Canis lupus familiaris: one gene and its partner. The protein of the gene in region 1 binds, or shares a complex with, the protein of each later gene. Links are inferred from orthologs where the notes say so. Each region holds a gene or a part of one and is shown in the gene's direction. Other genes may lie near its edges.

Region 1 (4,455 bases):
CTACCCGGTAAGTAGGAAATGCTAACCAAAGGCCGGCATTGTGGGAGCTGTAAAGAATCTGGGGGCAAATGCGAGGTGCGGGATTGTGGGGGTGAAAGCTGCCAGCTGCTCACGGCCTGCCCTCCCCCGCGCCCTCCCTCCAGGACATGGTGACCTACTTTGTGAACCTGAGCCAGGCGAACGCGCAGGGGACCCCGCTCTGGGAGCTCGAGTACCGGCTGACCCAGGCCTACGGGGTGCCCGACGCGGGCGCCCGCTCCATGCACGCGGCGCTGGGCCGCATCGCCAGCGACCCCCGCGCGCTGCAGCGCTACTACGTCTACAACTCGGTCAGCTACGACCCCTCGGCCTGCGAGCAGGCCTGCCGCGCCGAGCACGTGTGCGCGCTGCGCGAGGTGGCCTTCGACGCGTACGCCGCCTGCCTGCGCGCCCCCGGCGCCGCGCCCGCGCCCCGGCTCGCGCTCCTGCTTGCGGCGCCGCTGGGCCTGCGCGCGCTGCTCCCGCGGTGACCCGGGGCCGCCCGGAGCAGCCGCCGCTCGGGGACCAGGCCCGGAGACCCCCCCTCCCCACCTCGGCACGGGGTTTAAAAGTTTCATTGGGAAAACAATGCTCACCGAGCATCTTATGCTGTGCGTCTTTCCTCTTAGTATATAAGTAATGTGTGTTGTTTTTTTTTTTAAGATTTCATTTATTTATTCATGAGACACACACACACACACACACACACACACACACACACACACACACACACACACAGAGGCAGAGCCACAGGCAGAGGGAGAAGCAGGCTCCGTGCAGGGAGCCCGAGCCGGGACTCGATCCGGGGACTCCAGGATCACGCCCTGGGCCAAAGCGGCGCTAAAGCGCTGCGCCCGCCACCGGGGGACCCCTATGGATAATGCTGAATGCAACTCCCCTGCGCAGTTTCTGGACGGGTCTTGCAGGTCCCCCCACCCTGGCCTCCCCGCGTGTGGATGGTCCGAGTACCGGGGGCCTCCGGGGAGGGGCGCCCCGCGGGCCCGTGCCCTCGGGCTCAACGGGCGCTCGGCCCGCTCGAGGCACACCCGCTTTGCGAAGTCCCGCCGTCGGGGAACAGAACCCGCCTCGCTGTCCCGCGACCGCGCGGATGCGAGGGGTCGCAGTCCCAGCCCGGGCGCCGCTCTCCGGGCCCTTCCGTCGTCTCCATCGCAAAGCGAGGCGAAGAGAAGTCCGGGGAGGCTAAGGACGGACGGAGTGGCCGGCGGTCTCCGGGCCCAGCGGCCCTCGGGCGCGGCGGGGCCGGCCTCCCGGGGCGCCGGCGGGCGCGGGCCGCATCGCGGGCGCCCCCAGCCGCGGGGTCCGCGGGCCTCGCTCCTCCCCGGACGGGGCGGGGCGGGGAAGTCCCGCCCAGGAGGCCCGGGTCCTGGGCGGCCCCTAGGGCTGCGCCCGCCTCCTTCCTGCCGCCGCGACCCCGGGCCCCGAGGGCGGGCCTGAGCCCAGAGGAGGAGGAGGGGGAGCGGCTGGCGGGTCATGCCCTGGTTACCCCGCGCCGCGCTCCTCTGGGACGTGGTCCTGGGCTTTGGGGGCACCGCCGCCTTCCTGATCGACCTGGGCGCCGACCTGTGGGCCGCGGGCCAGTACGTGGTCAGCGGCCGCTACCTGTGGGCCGCGCTGGTGCTGGCGCTGCTGGGCCTCGCCTCGGTCGCGCTGCAGCTCTTCAGCTGGCTCTGGCTGCGCGCCGACCCCGCCGGCTTGCACGCGCCGCAGCCCCCGGGTCGCTGCCTGGCGCTGCTGCACCTCTTGCAGCTGGGCTACCTGTACAGGTGAGCACCACGCCCTCGGGGAGAGGGAGGCAGGCGCCGCGGGCTGCTAGCCCGGGGGAGGGCCGCGACACCCCGAAGGGGGCGGGAAGGGAGGATCCGGACCCTGGAGAGGAAACTAAGCCCTGTGGGCACTCCTGCCCACAGGTGAGCTCCCCGCCCCTAAAGCCACGGAGGCCAGGCCGGCAGACAGCCCTCTGAGCGCCTCCTCTAGCCCTACCCTCCTGCCAACCCTGGGGAAGAAACTGAGGCACTTGGTCTGGAGTCAGGCCTCTCTGGGCTCCAGTCCTCGCTAATTTACCGTCTATGGCCTCATGCCTGCGTTCTCTAAGCCTTTTTCCTCTTCTCTGAAAAGGCAACAGTGATGTAGAAACAGGTCTGGCAGGCGGCCTCTTGTGGGGAGTGGAGGCAAGAGCTGAGGTGCCTAGTATGGTGCTGGGCTCTTGGTGGGCTCTAGGGTAAGGGCAGACTCCTTATATTTTCCATACAAAAAAAAAAGTTCCTTTTTTTCCCTGGGTGGGGCCTCAGGCAAGTCACTGGAGCCTCCGGGTCTGTTTACTCATTGCTCAGTGGGGATGGTTGTAGCGCCTGCCTCTTTTATTTATTTATTTATTTTTTAATTTTTTTAAATTTTTATTTATTTATGATAGTCACACAGAGAGAGAGAGAGAGAGAGAGAGAGGCAGAGACACAGGCAGAAGGAGAAGCAGGCTCCATGCACTGGGAGCCCGACGTGGGATTCGATCCTGGGTCTCCAGGATCGCGCCCCGGGCTAAAGGCAGGCGCTAAACCGCTGCGCCACCCAGGGTTCCCCCTGCCTCTTTTAGTAGAGATTAAATGAAATAAGATCTGTAAGTTGCTTTGAGTAAGCATTCAACAAATGTCAGCTGGCTTGATCACTTGGGTCACCGTGTATGGAGCGGGGTTGTGTGTGTGTGGGGGGGTGCGGGGCGGGGAGCTTCAGCAGCCCTGACCCCCAGAGCAGAGCTTGTTGTTTCAATCCCTCTTTCCGAGTTTTGTTCTCTCTGCCCCAACCTCTCACCCCCAGAGCAAGTGAAAGAGCAACATGGGGTCTGACTCACGCATGTCCCTTGAGCCAGCCAGGGCTGGACACAGGCTGGGTTCCAGAAAATCTGTGTGGGTTATACTCCTCCTCTGAACTGGCAGGGCCCTCTAGAGATGAAGAAACTGAAAGAAAGCAAGGGATCAGAGTCATGGGATGGAGTCAGGACACATGTGGTCTGGGTTGGGATGGGGTGGCTGGAGCCAGGATCTGCTCTTGAATCGATTTTACAGATTCTCTCCAGGTCTTGCTTTGACAAAGCTGCATCGGGTCTTAAGGAGTGGACAAGAGGAGCTTTGATATTGCAGTTTTGCCCGAGGGGCTGCACAGGCATCAGTAACATGCTGGGCGGGCGCGAAGGAGTGGTTATTCGGGTCCTGGCAGACCTCGCGGAGCCCTGAATCCGTAACTGTGTCATGCATCTTCCCTTCTCCTATTTCTGCTGAGCACGAGGCCAGCAGACTTTCCTACACTTTGGTTTTGAAAATGGGGTCTCTTTGACTAGACTGAGGCAGGGGCCTTGGGGGACCAGGGGCCGAGGCTTTTGCTGAGGGAGGAGCCCCAGCCTGGGCCTACCCGCCCTGCTCCCTTAGTGTGTTAGTCCATCCAGGGGGAAGTGACAGTAGATGACTGAATTTGCTGTGACTGAGTGGGCTCAGTAGCCCGCTGAGATCAGCTCTGTGGGGGAGATCGTGGTACATCTTCCTACCACCTCATGCCAATGCCAGTGGGTCAGTCACCCAGGCCTGTTTGGCCAACCTCTGGACCCCTTAACTCTGCCTCTGTCTCCATGTCCATTACTCTGGACAGTCCTCTTAAATAGATCTGTGCTCTCACAGCTGAGGGCTCACCCCTCCACCCCTTCCTCTTCTCCACAGCCAGGGTAATCTTCCTGCAGCACCATCTGACCTATCTTGTCTGTGCTCGCAAGCTCTCAATGTCTCCCCACTCCACCCCCCGGCCCCCAGAATCCTAAGAAAAATCTTATGCTTGCTAACATTTGAGAACTATCGCCCGAAGCAGTTTCACAGTAAACCTTTGAAATTCACACAGCTTTGGGGCCAAATCCTGTTTCCACCATTGATTAGCTCTTTGGGTCTATTCCCCATCCGTTAAATGGGAATGTTGTCAGGAGTAAATGGTTTGTGATGACCTTAGGACACCCCGGCCAGCTGGAGCCCCGGTAGCTGGTACTGCTCCCCATTCTACAACAAAAAGCAAGTTCAGGGAGGTTAAGTCACTTGTGCCCAAGGCCCCTCAGCATGTAAGTGACAAAAGCTAGGACTGGAGGCCACCTGCATCGACCCAGTGGGTGAGGGAAGGTGGGACGCCACCACACACTAACCTGGCCCCTTGGAGCATCCGTGTCCGCCCCCCCCCTCCCAGGTGTGTGCAGGGGCTGCAGCAGGGGCTCCTGGTGTGGCGGCAGGAGGCGCCCTCGGAGTTTGACTTGGCTTACGCCGACTTCCTGACCCTGGACATCAGCATGCTGCGGCTCTTTGAGACCTTCTTGGAGACGACTCCACAGCTCACGCTGCTGCTGGCCATTGTGTTGCAGAGCGGCCGGGCCGAGTCCTACCAGTGTGAGTGATG
Region 2 (4,712 bases), on another chromosome or scaffold:
GGTCCCCAGGGCGGCGGCCCGGGAGAGCACAGCGGGCGGGGCAGGGTGCATGCGCCAGTCCTTGGCCACTGCACTGGACACCGGGGGATCCCCGTCCTGGTCCCCAGAGGGAGGCACCTTAGGAACAGGTCTCCCCGTGAACGTCGACGCCTCTTCAGAGCTTCTCTGGTCTCTGCCAGTCTTGAAAAGCACAAGCAGGTGAACACAATGGGAAGAGGCACCGGGGCTGCGGGGGATGCGGGGAGCCTGGGTGCAGCTGCCCACCCTGGGGTGCACACACAGCAGTCGGGGCGCTGGGTGGAGCGGGAACTGCTGGGGCGTGACCCGCCGCGGCTGCACCCGTGTCCCCGTCCCTTCCTCTCAGCCGCATGGGGGGCTCTGGGTCCTCGCCCGCCAACGCTTGTGATTTTCTTGCTTCCAGCAGGGCCGCCTGTGATTTGCGTTCCCTGATGGCTCACGACGGCACCTCTTCATGGTTAGTGCCCCCCGTGCATGTCTTCTTTGGACAAGTGTCGCATTCGGGTCCTTTGTCTGTTTTTAATTGGATTATTTGTCCGTGTTTTAAATCCAGTTGTAAGTGTTTTTTATATTTTCTAGATGTAAGGCCCTCCTGGGACACGTGATGTACCCGTGCTTTCTCCCGGCCTGCGGGCCATTTCCTCACTTCCTCCTTGCAGTTCTTTGAAGCACCAGCTGTTTAATCCTGATGAAGTTCTGTTTAGATATTGATTGTCGCTCATGCTTTTGCTGTCGTATATAAGAAACCACTGCCTGAGCCAAAGTCGTCAAGGTGACACTACCTGGTTTTTGTTTGAAATCATTTTGTCAAAAAAAAAAAAAAAAAAGAAATCATTTTGTCATTTCGAAAAGTGTTTGCGGTACGGGCGCCTGGCTGGGTGGGTTGGGCGGAGCACGCGACTTCTGATCGCAGGGTTGCGAGTTCGAGCCCCACGTCGGGTGTAGAGAATACCACTATTATTAAAAATAAAACCTTAAAGGGGCACCTGGGGGGCTCAGTGGTTAAGCGTCTGCCTTGGGCTCAGGGCGTGACCCCAGAGTCCCCAGACCGAGTCCCGCATCGGGCTCCCTGCATGGAGCCTGCTTCTCCCTCTGCCTGTGTCTCTGCCTCTCTCTGTGTGTCTCTTATGAATATATAAATAAAATCTTTAAAAAGATAATAAAATAAAATCTTAAAAAATAAAAAAATAAGTAAAATCTTAAAAAATAAAAAAATAAAATGTATTTGTTGTAAAACATAGGGACCTCACGGTAGGTTTTCCAGGCAAAATGCGGCACAGCCAGTTAATCTGAATTTCAGATAAACGGCGAATGCTTTTCCTGGCATAACTGCGTCCAGATACTGCCCGGGATCCTTGTACCAGGAAATTACTCATTCTCCATCTGCAATTCAAACTTAACTGCCATCCAGGTATTTTTATTTGCTAAATCCGCCAGCCCGCCCCAGCCCAGCGCGACGTCCCACCTGCTCACAGGGATCCCTAACCCCCTCCCTTAATGCTTTTTTCCCCTTCCGTACTGGGATAAAACACACACGATATAAAGCGAGCTGTCAACCACCTGGGAGGATTCCCCCCCAGTTCTGACGTCACAGTCTGAGGCTGCAGAAAGGGAGGAGGGGCCCAGCGCAGGCCACGCCCCCGTTTCCTAGCAACGCAGCCACGCCCCCAGGCAGCGAGGCGGGGCCTCCGGGGTCACGTGGTGCGTCCGCCCGCGCCCGCTCGGGCCAGCGCGTGTATACGTGCTTCCGCGCGCGTGCGCAGGAGGGCCGACCGGCGTGCCGTGCGCGTCCCCGCCCCGCGACGTCGCCCTGCGCGCGCGCGCCCGGGCCCCCCTCAGGTTCTTATAGCGCCGCGGGCGGCGGTTGGCGGCGGGGTCGGCACGGACGGCGGCGGCATGGCGGCTCGGGGGCTCGTGGTGCTGGCGCTGGCCCTGCTGGGCGCCGGGGGCGGCTCCGGGGCAGGTGAGCGTCGGGACGGACGCGGGCGGGGGCGGAGCGGGAGGCGCGGGGAGGGCGCGGGGGCTTCTGGGGGTCGGCGCGGGGGCTCCTGGGGGTCGGCGCGGTGGTTCCTGGGGGTCGGGGCGGGGGTCGGCGCGGTGGTTCCTGGGGGTCGGGGCGGGGGTCGGCGCGGGGGCTCGTGGGGGTCGGCGCGGGGCGCAGGGGCTCGGGGCGGGGGCGGGGGTCGGCGCGGGGGCTCGCGGGGGTCGGCGCGGGGGCTCTTGGGAGTCGGGGCGGGGGCTCCCGGGGGTCGGCGCGGGGGTTCCCGAGGGTCGGCGCGGGGCTCTTGGGAGTGGGGGCGGGGGTCGGCGCGGGGGCTCGCGGGAGTCGGGGCGGGGGCTCCCGGGGGTCGGCGCGGGGGCTCCCGGGGGTCTGGGCGGGGGTTGCCTGCAGCCTGCGGGGCCTGGAGGGATTGTCATTCTTGGCAGGATTTCGGGCCCGGAGCTGCTCGGGAGGCTCCTGCCCCCGGTGTCGCGCGGCGCGCTGAGCCCTTGGGCGCCGGGCGGGCTCGTCCGCCTGCAGAGCCGGGGGAGGAGGTGGCGTCCTGCCCACCCTGTCCTTTTCCGGGGCTGGAAACTGAGGCCCGGCTGCGGAGGGGAGGTGCCCCAAGGTCGCCGCGAGGTCGCCCGGGCAGCCCGGGTCCGGGCAGGGAGCAGGGAGCGTGCAGAGCCTTGTGTTCAGCTCACACAGCGTCCGGTTCCGCGGAGGCCTTGGGGACTGGGCAGCGTTTGGGGGTCGGACCGACGGGGAGAAAGAAGCTGGGTGGGAGCCCGAGTGTCGGGGGACACACAGCAGGACGGGTTCTTCCCGGGGTTGAGACTTCCCGTGTGGCTCTGGGTTAAAGATTTCCAGGGATGGCAGGTAGGGAACAAAGTGCAGGAAGGGTCTGGGCCTCCCGCGGAGCTTCACCCGCTTACCCCTGACCCACTTGACTCGCTTGGCCTCCGTCCTCCTCCTCCTCCTCAGACGGTTTATGAGAGCCTCCGGGCGAGGGCCTTGGGCCCTGGCGGGCGCGCTGCCCACTATCCACTGCCAGCGGGTCCCTGCCGGACTCAGGAGCCCGCAGGCTCGCCGGACGCGGAGAATAGGCTGCTGTTTCTGGCAGCGCCAGCCTTGGGGAGTCGCTCTGCGTGGCTGGTGGCCCCGGCCCGCGGGGCGTGGAGGAGGACTCGTGCTTTTCCTGAGTTCGCCCGTCTGTCAGAGGGGGAAGCACGTCTCTACCTCATTCCTGGCTTCAGTCACCAGCGCTCCAGCCAGGAGGCCGGGAGGACCCCTGCCCCCTCTCCCGCAGCCTGTAGCGGGTGGGCGGTCTCTGCACTGAGCCCACCTGGGATTCGTGTCTGTGCTTGCTTCTTATTTATTTATTTATTTATTTATTTATTTATTTATTATTTATTTTTTATGATAGTAACACAGAGAGAGAGAGAGAGGCAGAGACACAGGCAGAGGGAGAAGCAGGCTCCATGCACCGGGAGCCCGACGTGGGATTCGATCCCGGGTCTCCAGGATTGGGCCCTGGGCCAAAGGCAGGCGCCAAACCGCTGCACCACCCAGGGATCCCAATTTTTTTTTTTTAAATGAAATATCTTGACATGTATTTCATTAGTGGTTTTTGTTTGTTTGTTTTTTGTTTTTTTTTAGGCAGAGACACAGGCAGAGGGAGAAGCAGGCTCCCTGCAGGGAGCCTGATGTGGGATTCCATCCCGGGACCCCAGGGTTACACCCTGAGCCGAAGGGAGATGCTCAACTGCTGAGCCACCCAGGGATCCCTCTTTGTTTGTTTTTAAGTATTTTATTTATTTATTTACTTATATGACAGAGCACGAGTGGGGAGTGGAGGGCAGAGACAGAGGGACAGGCAGGCTCCCTGCTGTCATGGGGCTTGACCTCCAGACCCTGGGATCAGAGCGGAGCCAAAGGAGACGCTCACCCACTGAGGCCCCCCCCCCCCCCCCGCCCCCAGGCCCTGTTTTGTATCACCTTTGATAGTTCCACCTTTCCCGGGAACTCCCAGGAATGCCATGGTCCTTTTTCCCCTGGGACGGGTGAATTATTGACAGCGTGCGCCTCTCCTGTCTGGGTCAGTGTCCCAGACGCTTGCTTCAGGGGACGCTGCCAGCAGTGGCTTTCCTCAACTCACGCAGCACATGCCTGGCAGGTTGGCGCCCGTGTTGGCCAAGGCCCAGGACAGGGACAGGGACTGGGACTGTCGAGGGTCCCATCGTCCTGGCAGGCCTGCTGGGGAGGGCACAGGCGGGCCCCAGGTTGCTAGCTGAGTCCTGCAGGCGGTGGATTTGGCCTCTGAGCCTCAGGTGAAGGGAGCGGGAGCCGCCTCCTGGTGAGATGGAGGGGAGGGGGGAGGCCCAGAGCCTATGGCTGGCATCCCAGAAATGTTCTCTTGCTCCTCCTACCTGAGCAGAGCTGCCTGCCGAGGTGGGTGGGAGGAGGCTGGGTGCTGGGGCCTCCTCCCAGCTCCTGGGCTGTTTACCATAAGGCCTGCCTGGCTGGGTGCCCTGCCCGGCTGCCTCAGGGCGTGGAGGAGGGGTGGCTGTTTTTAGATGAAGGTGACTTGACTTGAGAACGTGGGTCACAGTCACTTGGGCCAAAACAGAGTCTTCGCTTTTCAGGCTCTCTCCCTGTTTCCTTCCTGCCCCTGTGAATTCCTGGGGTGCCTCGGTCAGGGCAGGGGTGTCAG

Evidence for each region. The genes of interacting proteins can lie anywhere in the genome.
Region 2: the proteins of XKR8 (region 1) and BSG are in contact, whole or in part, in a cryo-EM structure (PDB 7DCE), measured with the Homo sapiens proteins. The link is inferred for Canis lupus familiaris from reciprocal best matches to the Homo sapiens genes XKR8 and BSG. Residues at the interface, in NP_060523.2 of Homo sapiens: His232, Leu236, Val239, Leu242, Trp243, Leu246, Gln247, Arg280, Gly283, Arg284, Ile287, Phe291, Ser294, Asp295, Leu298, Ala301, Thr302; in NP_001719.2 of Homo sapiens: Trp326, Pro327, Gly330, Ile331, Glu334, Val335, Leu338, Val339, Ile341, Ile342, Phe343, Tyr345, Glu346, Lys350.

What each region holds. Positions count from the first base shown.
Region 1 is NC_049223.1:71,817,195-71,821,649, reverse strand, and holds the start of XKR8 (XK-related protein 8), read left to right. Parts: upstream 1-1,415; 5' UTR 1,416-1,509; coding exon 1,510-1,802; intron 1,803-4,248; coding exon 4,249-4,445; intron 4,446-4,455. Other genes in the region: SMPDL3B (acid sphingomyelinase-like phosphodiesterase 3b), read left to right, coding at 144-509.
Region 2 is NC_049241.1:58,428,464-58,433,175, reverse strand, and holds the start of BSG (basigin), read left to right. Parts: upstream 1-1,846; 5' UTR 1,847-1,914; coding exon 1,915-1,981; intron 1,982-4,712.